2 linked regions of the Bombyx mori genome follow. The protein of the gene in region 2 purifies or fractionates together with the protein of the main gene of each other region. This does not show direct contact. Links are inferred from orthologs where the notes say so. Each region holds a gene or a part of one and is shown on either strand. Other genes may lie near its edges.

Region 1 (3,760 bases), on a different chromosome or scaffold from region 2:
ATTAGGACCCAATAGGCGTGATCGCAAGCTTTACACGGGGCTGCGAAAGTTTCCCGGATTTTTTAAATCACGAAGTTACAGATCCAACATTCCGAACTTTTTATAGAGCATGCACAAATGATTTGTGCAACATTGGTAACTTATTACAATTTGCTTATTTTTTATTTATAATATTACAAAATAAAAATAAAAATAAACATTTAGGAATGGTATAATTGAAGCATGCTGTAAGATTGTTTTTATTAGTGTAAGTATATGAAACGACCCACTTAATTTTAAATGGTTATTGAAACCTATAGACACGACAGCGTGAATACCATTACTTATTTAAAAGGGAGTGATCCGAAGGCTCAATTGTGTTGGAAGCGGTGTTGGTGGTGGCGGTTATGTTAGCCTACAAAGTTCAGAAACAGCAAAGCGACGGTAATAGATATCGAGCTCAAAGGGCAGTACCTATAGTGTAACAAGAAGATAGCAACTATGAATAATGGACTACATAGGTACAAGAGAAACAAATAATGAACTATATAACAATCTATCTATTCTACACGTACTGCTATTACTTCACGTCCTACACATCTAGTCCTCAGAATATTATGTCATCAAATTAGAACTAAAATGAACTACACATGTTTTAGGTGATGGAATTCAGTCTATAGTCGGCGGTAATTTGTCTCCGTATCCTGCATACACCGGCATTAATCTATTAGTACCTGGGACAGGAAGCGGAGTAAATATCAAAATGAATAGAGTGTTGTTCTTTTCTGTGATAATGATCCTAATCGGGTTACATGTTTAAATAAATAATGTTCATTTTATTTTCTTCAAATCAGAATATTTTTTTGTAATATCTCAATAAAATACAGAAATTACATTAGCTCTTGTCATTAAGTACTTCCACAATATTACGTCCTAGAGTATCTGTACCTCGTACTCAAGCTAACGTTGGTTGACTATATCCCCACAGATTATTCAGAGACATGACGTTACCTAGGAAAAACGCTTTTGTCAGTGTCCAAGAGTCCAAATTGTCATTAAGTGAAAAATAGCTATAGCTACCAAAATGTCTGTTAAAAAACTTGATACCTAGGTTAAGAATTTTAGATAAAATATGTAATCAATAACATAAAGTAACATAAAAACTCTTACTAAATTAACAATGACTACGTCTCCTACCAGAACAAAACAGAAATTGTCTTTGCGGAAACGGTTATTCGTAAAAAAGTCTCCTCGAGTCGGTTGCTATGTTGATACAGAATCAAACGATGAATTTTCTCAGTCCACGTCTCGGCCCATATCGCCCGCGGATCCTTTTTTAGCTCAAAGTGCGCAGCATATCGAAACCAGTGTAGAAGCGATAGATAATCAACGAAATGCTAGTGCTGAACCACTTTCCCAGAATAGTAGTCACGGTGTCAGTCACAACCAAAGAGAAGAGGAGATCAACCCTAAATGCTGCCGTACCTTCTTTAGAAGATCTCGACCCAAGAGCTTAGTAGATGGAGGTCATTCCAAAGATGAACAGTGTCCAGATACATCCAGAGGTTGCAGTCCAGTATCGAATTCTATTAATAGTTTAAGTGACCAAACTATTTCTCAAACGAAATCAGACGAAATACCCAAAGCAACTATCAAATTTCCTAAAAGTGATGATTCAAAAAAGAGCTTTGAACATTCTGGTTCATTTGAGGGCATCAAAACAAAAAATAAACTCTTTGTCAAACGTTTATCAGCTGATCATCTGATTTCTACTGAAAGCAAACCACTATTTCGTTCTTCATCTCCCGAGAGTGATAGGAGTAGTTCTCTAGATCGTAAAAGAAGGTAATTATTAGGTTATTATATTGTAGTATTTTTTATTAAACAATTTATAATCATTAAAAAAAAAATGATCTATTAAAGATTAACAAAGATTGGTTTTTCTTAGTGTATGAATAAAAATTATAATATACCCACTTCATTTTATAGAAGTAAATCAACAATAACCCGGTCTGCTTCTCGTGCGGGTAGCACTGATAGCTTAGCACGTAACTCTTTGCTTGCTGCACAGGTGCTACGCCTCATACCCACACAAGAAGCTCGTGAAAGGTAGGATATAAACATCCATATACAATCATATGCTTAATACAAACTACTTACGGTATTATTATTATATAGTATATTATATATTATTATCTATAGTATTTTATAAATTATTACCAAAACTACTGAAATAAATGGTATATTAAAAAATAATTACTCAAGTCTCACTGTAGATAAAAGTAGAGTATTAAAAAAGTAAGATAACTAGTCGAGAATGCTTAGCCATGTTATTTCGCAGAATACAACAATAAGGAGAGAAAGCTATTACCCATAGACACAATCAACTGAATTTCTCGCTGCATTTTTTCAGTTGGTCGCAATTCTGTTCTGGTGGTAGATTCTGCGAAGCACTACTCTTGCTAGGGCTAGTATAAGCAAATTATTTCAGGTTGAGCACATGAGCTCACCTACCCATCTGCGAGCAGCTGAAATTGCTCCTTAGGTTACCAGCGAATATGTAGGAAAAAAACCACTATTCGGGATGAAGTAGTATAATAGAAAACCAAACTCAGCCAAATTTGTTGTCACACTTGCCTTATAGCATCAGCTAATTATGTTTCTAGCTAGATTCCCTCAGTGAGTTCTTATTCTGATCTGGTGGTGGAGGTTCACAGCTGCCACTGGTGATATTTTTGTTAGGCTACCTTACCACCACCAGAGTACCTTTGACACTTGATCCATCTGTCCTGAAGATGGAAAGGAAATCTAATACAAAACAAGTAGCCAAGCTCACTTACCAATACTCTTTATACAATAAATTATCAAACATATTAGAATTATGTAAAATAATCTTAAATTTACTTTATAAAGAAAGTTTAAATAAAGGTATTAAAAAATAAGCATTAGCTCCTTTCATAAGCAACCAATTAATAAATAATTGTTATAGATGAATTGTAATGGTGATTGTTAATTGGGGTATAATAGTGGTAGTCTTGTGATTCTGCATGGCTAGATACCACTACCCAGCCTATTTTTACCGTGAAGCATTCATGGGTTTTGGTTTGAAGGATGGTGCAACTATTGTAATTGTAAGAACTCATGTCTTAAAGTGGATGACAGCATCAACATCGCAGATGTCTATGAGCTCTGGTAACCACTTAACACCAGGTGGGCTATGAACTCGTTCACCCAATAATAATAAAAAAGTCAATTAGAAATACTATATATTTCTATTATATTATACATTGACACTATATACATAATATTATCAGATGAAATTTATAGGCATCTGATATTTTTATATTATGCTATTTTTCAGAGAATGTTTTATAACATATAATCATTAAAAAATATATTTAAGTAATGAGTCATAAATAAATCAAACTAATTATTTACTTTGCCTTTACCTTATCAGCCAAGTACAATATGGGGACTGAGTCACTGTTACCTTGAAGTTAATTACAATAACGTACTACGAAAATGAGATCCTAAATTAAAACTTGTAGTACATTCTACAGAACATGTTTTAAAAGTTTTATATAATACACTGTTTTTTTTTTATCGTGTGTTTAGTGTCGTATTCTATTTTAATGCAGAAAAATCTATTGGTACTTCAATTACAAAAATGGAAAGATCAAATGAAAATGTTTATTTCAGAAATTACCTTTATGGTAGACTTGCCTCACATTCACTCCTCGGCGCAGCTGAACTAGAACATGTTTTTCCTGATAGAGAAGTC
Region 2 (3,660 bases):
CAGTCTATCAAAGTGTACGTACGATGACAGTACCTGTCACGCAAAGGATTTTCATAATTTAATATCTTTATTAAGTAAAATTGACTGAACTTTGTTTTGATAAATCTCGCATCGAAATCTAGAAGAAATAAATTTAATGACGACAAAAAGATCATCGGGCTAGATAGATATTTGCGTATCGATCGACTGCGGCACATTGAGGAATATGAATTGCAAATGTTCAATTGAGACTGACTCATCTACAAGGCATCATCGGTTAGAATCTTTACGATCCTTACTGACTTACTGCTAGGAATGAGGATAAAATAATTTACGTTCATATATACTTATATCTCTTGATTACTGTATAAAAATCAATTTCAGTCTTTGAATTCCTAAGTAGAGCGTTCGTGGCTGTAGAACATATTTCGTGTAATGGCCTTTATTCAGCTCTTTAAGAAAAAACGCTCAGACACTCGCTCTCCAATAATTGCTACAGATGTTCTGAATTTGTTGGTGTTCGATTTTTACCCTTCTGTCGTGTTCATCCCAAACCAGTTCAATGGAAAAGAGGTCAGATCACTGAGGTGGCCATTGCCTTAGACAAGGCCATTCTTTCTGAAAAAGATCGTAACCTAATGAATCGATTCACGAAATAATCGAAGATTTCGAAAGAACCAATTGTTTTCAAGTTTGCATTTACAATGTAAACACAAATTGATTTTATTAAAAATAAGTAAGCTCTTCTTGATAGAGAAGATCTATAAACGATTCCTTATCAGTAAAATCAGGTAATTTGATAATAACAATTATTTTTATTACCATATCAGATCAGGTATAAAAGAAAAAAATTGTTTTCTAAATGTATTTGGTACATTAAAAAGTTAAAAAAATAATAACAATGTACATAGCTTATAGTTGCCAACGCTTAATACACTTAAACAGTCTGTGAAGTCTACTGGGATCCAAGCGGCTCCGCTCGTCACTTGCGAGGTTAGCGGAAATTGAAAGAAGGCACTCACAAGGAGCAAATGATCCCACGATACTCATACACATCATGGGGCTGTTGAGTGAACGTGTTGATCAATAGTTTTTTTTGCCAGTAAAGTATAGGGTCATACTTCAGGTACACAACTGCCTGCGATGAATAGTGCTTAATTTCTTCGTTTAAGTCTTGATTTCCCAGTGCAAGTGAATAATATGTAGAGTTGATTTCCACAAGCATGTTATGAAAATCCCCATTACTTTTTCCAAATCAGTATCTTCTGTTCCGTCGACTTCTTCACTTATTCTTTTGTGGGAGTTGTTGCTGTGATATAATATTTAAAATTAAATCATTTATGAAATCATCTATTTGTTGTTCGATAACAGGCTAATCTATACTATATATCTATATATATAAATCTACAGTGGTTTTTACGGATGTTCCATTATAACTACTGAACCATGCATCTGATTGACTTGAAACTTGGTAGCCATGTAGAAAATACATGTACTTAATGGATAAGCTAATATTTGAGTGTTGGACTCCCTAATAATAATGACAATAAATAATGTTAATTTTAAATGTCCAGCAAGCGGGCGAGTTCGGATAGTTGCATATAATTTAATGGTTTTTACCAAAACAGAAAAAAATAAATGCTTAGTGCTTCTTATATGTATTTTATTACTATTGATTGAACTGGACCTGTTTAAGGGTTGACTAAGCAACAGACATGTCTACTATTTTAAACACGATCATTTTCTTTTTACTTTTACAATGTATGTTTGTAATAATAACAGACAGATCAGTCGGTACTGTTGTGGAGTTCTCATTTTCCAAAATTCACTGCCAAGCCTCCAAGTGCGAAGTTGTTAAAAACCCGGTTAAAAATTCTAGGTTCAAACTTGCAAACATTATTGTATGCATGCTCACAATTTGTCTTACCCAAGTTACTTATTTGTAAAAGGTCACATTATCATTAAAATTTAGTATTTTAGTGATATTTTTAAATTGAGTCTTGAAGTTATTTTTTATATAGGCAAAAAGAGGACTTTGTAAATTAACGTGATGTGTGCTCGGCTTGCAGGGCGCAGAAGACAAATTGAACATGATCAGAGCGTACCGCAGCCAGGTTGAGAAGGAGCTCCGTGACATCTGCTCTGACATCCTCGGTGTCCTCGACAAGTACCTCATCCCCAGCTCACAGACCGGAGAATCAAAAGTTTTTTATTACAAAATGAAGGTCAGATTCATAACCATACAATGTTTTATTTTACATATTTTCCAAGAGGAAAAAAGCTTATTTCTAAAAGATATTTATTATAAAGTATTTATGGGTATTAAAGGTAAGTATTAAAGGGTTATTATAAAGTACATATTTATGAAATTAAAATTTATCAAAATGTCACTGATTATCGAAAACATTTCATATCATTATATATATAATGTCATCATACATCTAAGCATTTTATAGTTTATTGAAGAAAAACAAAACATGTAACAAAAATGTGAGATAATTTGGGCATTTTTTTAATTGTGATATGTAATATCTAAATAAACTAAAATTGGTGCTAATACCAAATAAAACGCATCTTTAATTACAAAGATAAATGTCCCGTATTAAGTGAAATGTTGCTTAAATAGCTTTTCACCTTTCGATGTGTATATATGTAAACTTATATAAGTATGTATGTCCAGTCTCTGGTAGCCATAACACCGAGAATCTTAATTTGGGGCCGCGTGATTTGTTCTTTGTTATTTATATTCATTTATTTATCACTGACATTTTCGTGTTGTTACAAACATTTTATTTCATACTAAGTTTGTGAAGATAATAACGAGCACACCGAAAAGGCAAATGTTAGTAGATGTAATTGTACATGTGGGTGCGTTTGTTGCAGGGCGACTACCACCGGTACCTGGCCGAGTTCGCGACCGGCAACGACCGCAAGGAGGCTGCCGAGAACTCGCTGGTCGCGTACAAGGCAGCCTCCGACATCGCCATGACCGAACTGCCCCCCACCCACCCCATCCGCCTCGGACTCGCGCTCAACTTCTCCGTGTTCTACTACGAGATCCTGAACAGCCCGGACCGCGCCTGCCGGCTCGCCAAGGCCGCCTTCGACGACGCCATCGCCGAACTGGACACGCTCTCGGAGGAGAGCTACAAGGACTCCACGCTCATCATGCAGCTGCTGCGGGACAACCTCACGCTGTGGACCTCCGACATGCAGGGCGACGGGGAGTCCGCCGACGCCGAGCAGAAGGAGCCGGCGCAGGACGGCGAGGACCAGGACGTCTCGTAATGGCCGCGCCTCCCCCTAATTATATACAAATAACTATAGTATCGTATAAGAGCCAGCCCGCAGTGCCGACCCGCGGGCCCGGGACCGCCCTCTCACTGTTCGTTTTCGATTATGGAAAGTATATCATATGTAATATAATACTTTGGTATTGCATTTTAACTGTTGTTTAGAAAACGTTGTCTAATCTCGGCTCCGGTCCCGCCGACAGGCCCTCCGCGCACTGTCCGGCGATTCCGCTTCTTTCGTATTACAACATTTGGAGTATTCACATTTGAATTGCTTTAATTACTTACGAGTATTGTGATAGAGATTTTTGTATATTTTAATTTATTTTTTTTAATTTCGCAAAGTATCTCTAAAATGAAGTGTAGCGCTCCACCCCCAGGACGATCG

The links. The genes of interacting proteins can lie anywhere in the genome.
Region 1: the proteins of Ywhae (region 2) and inositol polyphosphate 5-phosphatase E purify together in Homo sapiens (affinity purification with mass spectrometry; 3 studies listed by BioGRID and IntAct, with this or other methods). This does not show direct contact. The link is inferred for Bombyx mori from reciprocal best matches to the Homo sapiens genes YWHAE and INPP5E.

What each region holds. Positions count from the first base shown.
Region 1 is NC_085123.1:6,741,698-6,745,457, forward strand, and holds the start of inositol polyphosphate 5-phosphatase E, read left to right. Parts: upstream 1-1,002; 5' UTR 1,003-1,159; coding exon 1,160-1,824; intron 1,825-1,968; coding exon 1,969-2,088; intron 2,089-3,678; coding exon 3,679-3,760. Other genes in the region: uncharacterized protein LOC101746422, read left to right, coding at 6-135, 639-799. UniProt on the Homo sapiens protein: Phosphatidylinositol (PtdIns) phosphatase that specifically hydrolyzes the 5-phosphate of phosphatidylinositol-3,4,5-trisphosphate (PtdIns(3,4,5)P3), phosphatidylinositol 4,5-bisphosphate (PtdIns(4,5)P2) and phosphatidylinositol 3,5-bisphosphate (PtdIns(3,5)P2).
Region 2 is NC_085122.1:14,139,104-14,142,763, forward strand, and holds part of Ywhae (14-3-3 epsilon protein), read left to right. Parts: intron 1-2,048; coding exon 2,049-2,204; intron 2,205-2,862; coding exon 2,863-3,267; 3' UTR 3,268-3,660. UniProt on the Homo sapiens protein: Adapter protein implicated in the regulation of a large spectrum of both general and specialized signaling pathways. Binds to a large number of partners, usually by recognition of a phosphoserine or phosphothreonine motif.